2 linked regions of the Macaca fascicularis genome follow. The protein of the gene in region 1 binds, or shares a complex with, the protein of each later gene. Links are inferred from orthologs where the notes say so. Each region holds a gene or a part of one and is shown on either strand. Other genes may lie near its edges.

The links.
Region 2: the proteins of MMP10 (region 1) and TIMP2 are in contact, whole or in part, in a crystal structure (PDB 4ILW), measured with the Homo sapiens proteins. The link is inferred for Macaca fascicularis from reciprocal best matches to the Homo sapiens genes MMP10 and TIMP2. Residues at the interface, in NP_002416.1 of Homo sapiens: Glu155, Asp169, Phe170, Tyr171, Ser172, Pro176, Gly177, His178, Ser179, Leu180, Ala181, His182, Ala183, Tyr184, Pro185, Pro188, Gly189, Leu190, Tyr191, Val214, His217, Glu218, His221, His227, Pro237, Leu238, Tyr239, Phe242; in NP_003246.1 of Homo sapiens: Cys27, Ser28, Cys29, Ser30, Pro31, Val32, Gln36, Ala37, Asn40, Ser57, Gly58, Asn59, Asp60, Tyr62, Asn64, Pro65, Ile66, Lys67, Arg68, Thr91, Ala92, Pro93, Ser94, Ser95, Ala96, Val97, Cys98, His123, Leu126, Cys127.

The regions. Positions count from the first base shown.
Region 1 is NC_088388.1:101,790,387-101,795,149, reverse strand, and holds part of MMP10 (stromelysin-2), read left to right. Parts: intron 1-1,171; coding exon 1,172-1,336; intron 1,337-1,521; coding exon 1,522-1,666; intron 1,667-2,620; coding exon 2,621-2,754; intron 2,755-4,763. UniProt on the Homo sapiens protein: Can degrade fibronectin, gelatins of type I, III, IV, and V; weakly collagens III, IV, and V. Activates procollagenase.
Region 2 is NC_088390.1:85,256,942-85,261,704, reverse strand, and holds the end of TIMP2 (metalloproteinase inhibitor 2), read left to right. Parts: intron 1-1,087; coding exon 1,088-1,285; 3' UTR 1,286-3,962; downstream 3,963-4,763. UniProt on the Homo sapiens protein: Complexes with metalloproteinases (such as collagenases) and irreversibly inactivates them by binding to their catalytic zinc cofactor. Known to act on MMP-1, MMP-2, MMP-3, MMP-7, MMP-8, MMP-9, MMP-10, MMP-13, MMP-14, MMP-15, MMP-16 and MMP-19.

The DNA.
Region 1 (4,763 bases):
ATCTTTCCTGAGTACAAGACTCAGGAGGCTGAGGCACGAGAATCGCTTGAACCCAGGAGATGGAGGCTGCAGTGAACCGAGATTGCACCACTGTCCTCCAACCTGGGCAACTCTGTCTCACAAGACTGAAATCTGTGTTGCATGAAATGATTGCCTTTTATTTGAACAATTGTTCTTTTCTGCACAATTCTTGGAGCCTTGGTCAAATATCTACTACTAAATTCGATAAAACTCTTTTTATAATATTTTTTTAAAAGCTGAATCTAGCTGTGCTTGTGCTGCAGAAAACTGTTATTGGGCATGTTTCTGTTTTAAACTAAAGATTGTACACATCCAATGGCACTTATTACTGGGAAGATTTTTGACAATCAAAAATTATTTTATTATGGCTGAGCACCGGTGGCTAATGCCTGTAATCCCAGCATTTTGGGAGGCCAAGGTGAGTGAATCACTTGAGGCCAGGAGTTCGAGACTAGCCTAGCCAACATGGTGAAACCCTATCTCTAAAATATAAAAATTAGCTGGGCATAGTGGTACGTGCCTGTAATCTCAGCTACTCAGGAGGCTGAGGCATGAGAATCGCTTGAACCCGTACTCCAGGCTGGGCAACAGAGTGAGATTCTGTCTCAAAAAAAAACAGTTACTTGAGTATGATGAAGAGGAGGAAGAGCAAATCAGACTAAACTCCACAAGAAATAACTACAGTCTTGTGGCCTAAAAGTTTGGGGAGCAACATAAATGTTATATGATTAATTTTAACCGAGGTTGCAACTGGCACATGTTCCTAAATTTGAACAATGACTTTTTACTTTTAGACAACGAAGAGTTATATTTATTGACATGGATATTAGTCTTGTCCTTTCAAAAAAAAAATCTTTGGAAATAATGCTTCTCATTTGTCAATATAGGAAAAGTGTCTTAGTTTTCCTGACCAAGGAGGGATCTAGGGAGCGATACGGTGAAAAACTGTCTTATATATTGACTTAAAGTCAACCTTGAAAAACACATTAATTTCTATAAAGTATGGAATATGCCAATCAATGAACCAATCCACAAATACTGAAAAGACCATGTGGTTTCAAGGATGGCCTGCACAGCTGGCATATGTTCTGTATGTGTATTTACGGAATAAATAGCTGGTGGATTCTGAACATTTATGGTTGTCATACAGGCACCAATTTATTCTTCGTTGCTGCTCATGAACTTGGCCACTCCCTGGGGCTCTTTCACTCAGCCAACACTGAAGCTTTGATGTACCCACTCTACAACTCATTCACAGAGCTGACCCGGTTCCACCTTTCACAAGATGATGTGAATGGCATTCAGTCTCTCTATGGTGAGTGATGCTGGAAAAATTAGGCATTGTAGCTCTGCAACGACAGTCCTCAAGAAAGCTTTCCAATGCTACCTAAAGTATTTCTGATTTAGCTTGAAGCACTTTGAGAATGTTTGAAAGGCATACAAATTGACAGATGCATCACATTTTTTAAATGTTTGCATCCCCAAATCTGTCTCCTTTAGGACCTCCCCCTGCCTCTACTGAGGAACCCCTGGTGCCCACGAAATCCGTCCCTTCAGGATCTAGGACGCCAGCCAAGTGCGACCCTGCTTTGTCCTTCGATGCCATCAGCACTCTGAGGGGAGAATATCTGTTCTTTAAAGACAGGTCAGACCAGAAAATTATATTTTTCTGTCTATTCTTTTGATGTACAGTGCTTAGAAAGGAAAACAGAAATTTGATAGAGGTTTTTTTTAAAAAACTTTTATTTTAGGTTCAGGGCTACATGTGCAGGTTTGTTATATAGGTAAATTCGTGTCATGGGGGTTTGTTGTACAGATAATTTTGTCATCCCAGTGCTAAACCTAGTACCCGGTAGTTACTTTTTCTGCTTGACAGAGATTTTTTTAAATACAAAATTTTCTCTATATTTTAAAATCATTCAGATCTAGTTCTTGTTGAATTTTTAACATCCTGTTAGAATTGTCCAGGTCATTTTTTACACTTACAAGGGATGATTCTAGACTGTAAGCTTGATTAAGGCAGGGAGTTATATCTGTTTTGTTCATTTTTTAAAATATAAATCATGGAACTTCTTCAGAAAGCACTGGTGAATCCTTAGAAACAGGGTGATATCTTTCCCTTTGCTAAAAATTGCTACTACTTAAATTAATTACTTTTGGAAAAAAGTGATATATGCTTATGGCACAATATTTAGACACTGCCAAAAGATACAGAGTTAAACAATCTCTCTCTAGTCTTTGGTCTACAGTCCCCCAGCTCCCTTCACATGTGTAACCACTGCTACCAATTTCCTTTAACTCTTTACAGAAATGTTCTATTCATATACAAGCATCAATACGCACATAATATTTTTTAAAATATTAGGACATAATATACACACTGTTTATGGACTTTCAGAGTGGAAGCAAGCTAAATAATTTTATTGGAACCAGTCACAAGTCCTGCCATCAATTTTATTACCCTGGAATCACATGCAGGAGGATGGTTTAATATAGACTTCTATGAATGCGTGAATTAGCATGGATTTTTTTTAAAAGAATACTTTTTTTCACATAGCTAAAGGAGAAAGACAATTGCAAGTAATTTTATGTATTACAGATATTTTTGGCGAAGATCCCACTGGAACTCTGAACCTGAATTTCATTTGATTTCTACATTTTGGCCCTCTCTCCCGTCATATTTGGATGCTGCATATGAAGTTAATAGCAGGGATACTGTTTTTATTTTTAAAGGTGAGTACTATATAAGAATTTTCAACTTGCTGGAATAAATCCTAGTGTGAAAATTTTATCGACATGAGTTTTCTCCATTATATTAAAGTTTAGATTACTGCAAGACCTTGTGCTAACACTTAAATAAAATTTGTACAAAGAACATTATAAACTTTATTTTAGAGACCTCTTAAGTGAATAGGTGGTATTCCATATTCATGGATAAAAAATGCAATATAGTAAAAATGTCAATTTATCTATAGATACAAGACATTTTCATTTCAAATGCCAAAAGATTTTTCATGGAACTTGACAAATTAGTTTTACAATTTATACGGCAGCAAAGAGAATAGCCAGGAGGCTCCTGGTGAACCCATCTTATTAGATAAGGAGAAAAGCCCTGTGTTATAAAACTTTAATCAGTAAGATGTAGTATCAGTTCAGGGAGAGATAAATTAACTAATGGAGCTATTCAGGTATGGCGGCTTCTTTATCAGATTTTTAAACTACGGTTTCAATTTGTTTTATTGGTAATATGCTATTTGAGTTTCTATTACTTCTTGAGTCAGTTTTGTTAACATGTTTTTCTAAAAGTTTGCCAATTTTGTCTGTTTTCAAATCCATCAGTAAAAAGTTTTTGGAAAATTATTTTGTTGTAATTTGAATTATTGCTGAAGTTTTGTTCTCTTTTTCATTCCCAATACTGAACCCTTTTGCCTTTCTCTTTTTCTCTTTATTAATCTCATAATGTATGTAATAATGTTATTGATCTTTTCAAAGGACTGACTTTTGGCTTTATTTATCCTCTATATTATATTTTGATTTCCCATTTAACTAATTTCTGTTCATATCCTTATTGTTGCCTTAAGTTTTGTTTACTTTTAATTGATCCTGTTATTATTGTTATAGCTTAAGTTTGATACTTACCTTATTAACTTGTAACTTTTTTCTTTTCTAATATAAGCATTTATACCTATAAATAACCATTTCTTCTTTTTTATTCAGCAAATTTTGATATGCAGTATTTTCATTTTGTTCAATTTTAATTCTTTAATTTCTCATCTTTATTTTTCCCCTAGACTTATAGGTGATATTGGAATATTTTTAAATGTCAAGCTTTATGAAGATTTTAAAAATGTTTATTTCTGGCAATCTCACTTTTGTGAAGATTAAATGAATGTGAAATTGCAATAGAAATTGTAAAGAATTATAACTCTAACATATTATTATCCAGTAATGTATCTCACATTTACATATCACTTGCACTGTGTCAGACACTATGCTCATTAGTGGAGGTCAGGACTGAAAAGGGCTCATATTCTAGAAGGAGCAGCAGAGATGAAGCCATAGGCAGCCTACGTATGACAAGTGCTGGTACTGAGAGAAGGAAGGGTGCCATGGGAGCATCTGACTCATATCCAGGGCTCAGCAAAGATCCCTTAGAGGAAGTGATGTTAGGATGGGTCTTGAAGTTCTCTTTTGCTGTGCAGAGATCGGCTGGGTGTACAGGAAGTAGAAAGATCTCTAAGAAAGAAGAAATTGTTTTTGCCAAGTAAGAGCATATCTGGAACTGCTCAGACACATAAAAGTCATTCAGTTCAGATGAAGCAAGAGAGATAAACAACAGATGGGCATTTTAGATTAGTGAATCTGGCAGTAGTGTGAAGAAGGAATTCAGGCTTGGGGTCCTGGAGAGTGATGTAACAAAGTAAAGGCAGAGAGATGGATGGGATTTTGTTGTCCTAACTCACTAGAATTTGAATGAATTCCAATAGTGTTCAGAAGAAGCACAGATTTGAATTGGTGACTGTGAAATACCTCAAAGGAAGTGTACAATAAGCAATGATCTATTGGTATGAAACTTAAGAGAGAGAGGTCTAGGTGAGAAATTCAGGTTAAAAAGTCACCAGCAATTATAAGAAATAACTAAAACTGATCTATAAATAAACTATAACTTATAGATACAAATATATAAGCCACAGAGAGGGCAATGAATCAGAGTTATCTACTCATTTATTCATTCTTTCACT
Region 2 (4,763 bases), on another chromosome or scaffold:
GCTCTGTTACTTGCCCCTTCCAGAAAAAGGAGCTGTATGGGGAGAATATGGTCCCATGGATCATTTCCTACAAATGCGGATATGCAAACCCTTGTGTGCCTTGTGAGAGGGCACTGCAGGCCTCATGCTTTTTCCAACATTCCCGACATTTTCACACCTGGGTCGGTGTCTACGTGGGGTCTGTGTGTTGAGAACACCTGCTCCTCTTCAAATGAGCCCGGAGGTTGTGCCAGGCACAGTCGTAGCAGCCCGACGCTTGGATGTGACTGTGGAAGGCGAGATCACCACCTCCAGGGCTCCCGGGCTGGCTCCTACCCTGTGGGCTCCTAGCACCCTATCCCCACCCTTCCTGCCGGAAGCATTGCTGAGTGCTGGGCACCTGCCACCCTGGGTCACTCCCAGCGAGTCTGGGACCAGTAGACTCTGGTGAGGCCGTGGGGATTGGCCTTCCTTGGGGAGCTGCCTGGGGCTGCCCTCCCTCCTGACGGCCACCAGCCCCTTCTCAGCATGTTCAAAACAGGAATTCTGAACTCATAGTCTCCAGCCACACATATGTTAAGCAAAACTCCTCTGTGCCCAGCATGAAATCAAAAGCAAGTTCTTCCTTTTTCTTTCCATGGGGCAGTGAAGGCAGTCATCCTCTTGTAGCCTCGGGTTCCTTTGCCAAATTGCTAGTTGCCTATGACCTCAGGGCTCGGCCTTGAGCAGTTCCCAATTCCCGGCCTTTTCACTGGGCTGGAATCTGTCTCCAGGAAACCCAGGCCCTTTTATTGTTGCTATGTCCCCCAGAGGGCAGGGCCAAGCCAGGCCATTCTCTCATGCTCAGGAAGGTAGAAGATGGCCCAAAGGGAAGCACACCTGCAGCAGGAGGGGGGCCCCGGTGGGCGGGGCACAGCTTCCCTGCAGGTAAGACCCCCTCGCAGGCCAGCCGCCTGCCCCTGCAGGAGCTGTGGGTCTCGGGAGAGGCTGCCGTCCCTGCACACCGCAGGTAGGCACATTGCCGGGTTCTGGACATGCCCCCAGAGCAGCCTCTGCCCACCCCTTCCTGGGTCCCTGACTCCGTCCCCCTCTGTGTGCCCCTCCCCAGATCACGCGCTGCCCCATGATCCCGTGCTACATCTCCTCCCCGGACGAGTGCCTCTGGATGGACTGGGTCACAGAGAAGAACATCAACGGGCACCAGGCCAAGTTCTTCGCCTGCATCAAGAGAAGCGACGGCTCCTGTGCGTGGTACCGCGGCGCGGCGCCCCCCAAGCAGGAGTTTCTTGACATCGAGGACCCATAAGCAGGCCTACAACACCCCTGTGGCCAACTGCAAAAACAGCCTCCAAGGGTTTCGACTGGTCCAGCTCTGACATCCCTTCCTGGAAACAGCATGAATAAAACACTCATCCCGTGGGTCCAAATTAGTACAGTTCTGCTCCCCGCTTCTCCTTTTAGACACGGTTGTGGGTCTGGAGGGAGACATGGGTCCAGGGTCCTCATCCCATCCTCCCTCTGCCAGGCACTGTGTGTCTGGGGCTTCGATCCTTGGGTGCAGGCAGGGCTGGGACATGTAGCTTGCCTCCCAGTCCCTGCCTTGGCACCGTCACAGATGCCGAGCAGGCAGCACTTAGGGATCTCCCAGCCGGGTTAGGGCGGGGCCTGGAAATGTGCATTTTGCAGAAACTTTTGAGGGTCGTTGCAAGACTGTGTAGCAGGCCTACCAGGTCCCTTTCATCTTGAGAGGGGCATGGCCCTTGTTTTCTGCAGCTTCCACGCCTCTGGCCCTAGTGTAACACTCCCTGCCCCTGGCAAGTGCCCCCATCACCCCGGTGCCCACCATGACCTCCCAGCACCTGTGGCTCCCCCCACATCCAGGGACAGCCTGGAACCAGCGGCTTATTCTTGAAGGAGCCCCATCAATCCTGTTAATCCTCAGAATTCCAGTGGGAGCCTCCCTCTGAGCCTTGTAGAAATGGGAGCGAGGAACCCCAGCCTCAGCTGAGTCTTTTTGGTCTCCTGCACCCCCCGTCCACATGCTTCCCCAGCCTGCAGGGGGAATTGGTGAGGTCCTGTCCTGAGGCTGCTGTCCGGGGCCGGTGGCTGCCCTCAAGGTCCCTTCCTGAGCTGCTGTGGTTGCCATTGCTTCTTGCCCATTCTGGCACCAGGCACCTGGATTGAGTGGCACGGCTTTGCTTTATCTGGGCTTGTGTGCAGGGCCTGGCTGTGCTCCCCATCTGCACATCCTGAGGACAGAAAAAGCTGGGTCTTGCTGTGCCCTCCTGGGCTTAGTGTTCTCTCCCTCAAAGACTGACAGCCATCATTCTGCACGGGGCTTTCTGCACATGACGCCAGCTAAGTGTAGTAAGAAGTCCAGCCTAGGAAGGGAAGGATTTTGGAGGTAGGTGGCTTTGGTGACACTCTCACTTCTTTCTGAGCCTCCAGGATACTTGGGCCTGTTTTAAGAGACATCTCCTTTTTCTAACGATGAATTCTCAGATGATTCTCAGATGATAGGTGAACCTGAGTTGCAGATATACCAACTTCTGCTTGTATTTCTCAAATGACAAAGATGACCTAGCTAAGAAACTTCTTAGGGAACTAGGGAACCTATGTGTTCCCTAAACATGGTTTCCTGAAGCCCGTGATATGGGGATCAGAATAGGAAGAACTTTCTCGGTAACGATAAGGAGAATCTCTTTTGCTCCCACCTGTGTTGTGAAGATAAACTGACGATATATAGGCACATTATGTAAACATACACACGCAATGAAACTGAAGCTTTTCGGCCTGGGAGTGGTCCTGCAAAATGCTTCCAAAGCCACCTTAGCCTGTTCTATTCAGTGGCAACCCCAAAGCACCTGTTAAGACTCCTGACCCCCAAGTGGCATGCAGGCCCCATGCCCATCGGGACCTGGTCAGCACAGATCTTGATGACTTCCCTTTCTAGGGCAGACTGGGAGGGTATCCAGGAATCGGCCCCTGCCCCACGGGCGTTTTCATGCTGTACAGTGATCTAAAGTTGGTAAGATGTCATAATGGACCAGTCCATGTGATTTCAGTATATACAACTCCACCAGACCCCTCCAACCCATGTAACACCCCACCCCCGTTCGCTTCCTGTACGGTGATATCATATGTAACATTTACTCCTGTTTCTGCCGATTGTTTTTTTAATGTTTTGGTTTGTTTTTGACATCAACTGTAATCATTCCTGTGCTGTGTTTTTTATTACCCTTGGTAGGTGTTAGACTTGCACTTTTTTAAAAAGAGGTTTCTGCATCGTGGAAGCATTTGACCCGGAGCGGAACGCGTGGCCTATGCAGGTGGATTCCTTCAGGTCTTTCCTTGGGTTCTTTGAGCATCTTTGCTTTCATTCGTCTCCCGTCTTTGGTTCTCCGGTTCAAATTATTACAAAGTAAAGGATCTTTGAGTAGGTTCGGTCTGAAAGGTGTGGCCTTTATAGTCGATCCACACACGTTGGTCTTTTAACCATGCTGAGTAGAAAACAAAACAGGTTAAGAAGAGCCTGGTGGCAGCTGAGAGAGGAAGCCGCTCAAATACCTTCACAGTAAATAATGGCAATATATATATAGTTTAAGAAGGCTCTCCATTTGGCATCGTTTAATTTATATGTTATGTTCTAAGCACAGCTCTTTTCTCCTATTTTCATCCTGCAAGCAACTCAAAATATTTAAAATAAAGTTTACATTGTAGTTATTTTCAAATCTTTGCTTGATAAGTATTAAGAAATATTGGACTTGCTGCCGTAATTTAAAGCTCTGTTGATTTTGTTTTCGTTTGGAGTTTTGGGGGAGGGGAGCACTGTGTTTCTGCTGGAATATGAAGTCTGAGACCTTCCGGTGCTGGGAACACACAAGAGTTGTTGGAAGTTGACAAGCAGACTGCGCATGTCTCTGATGCTTTGTATCATTCTTGAGCAATCGCTCGGTCCGTGGACAATAAACAGTATTATCAAAGAGAACGTGGGCTCTCTCTGTGTGGCTGTATCCTACATTCAGAATGGCCACTTTCTAGCTCAAGAATGGGAATCAGCCCCTGCAAGGAACCTTTCCTGTCCAGCGGGAGGGGGCGCCCTGTGTCCTCCAGAGAAACAAGGCCAGTGAGCTCTGAGTCAAATGTGGGATGCAGACTAGGTGCAGTGGCTCACGCCTGTCATCCCAGCACTTTGGGAGACTGAGGCGGGTGGATCGTTTGTGTCCAGGAGTTCGAGACTAGCCTGGCCAACTTAGCAAAACCCCGGCTCTACAAAAAATAGGTGTGGTGGCATCTGTCTGTGGTCCCAGCTACCCAAAGGGTGCGATGGGAGGATCACTTGAGCTGTGGTGGCAGAGATGGGACAGGTAAAAGCAAATGTGGTTTTCTTAGGTGGATGAAGAGGCAGAAGCGTAGGACAGGGTCCCCCTCATTCAGCACGTTTTATTATAGAGAAACGCAGAGCCATGCACCTGTCTCACAGCTTCAACACTGAGGGCTTCATGGCCAGCTTTAGACCTACCCTCAGTCTTCACCCACCCCGCCCAAAATTATTTGGAAAAAAAAATTCCAGGCATCAAACAGTCTCATTTATCAATATTCCAGTACGCATGTTTAAAAAATAAAAACTACTTTTTTTTTTTTTGAGATAGTCTTGCTCTGTTACCCAGGCTGGAGTGCAATGGCACAATCTTGGCTCACTGCAACCTCCACCTCCTGGGTTCAAGTGATTCTCCTGCCTCAACCTCCTGAGTAGCTGGGATTACAGGCACCCGCCACAACAC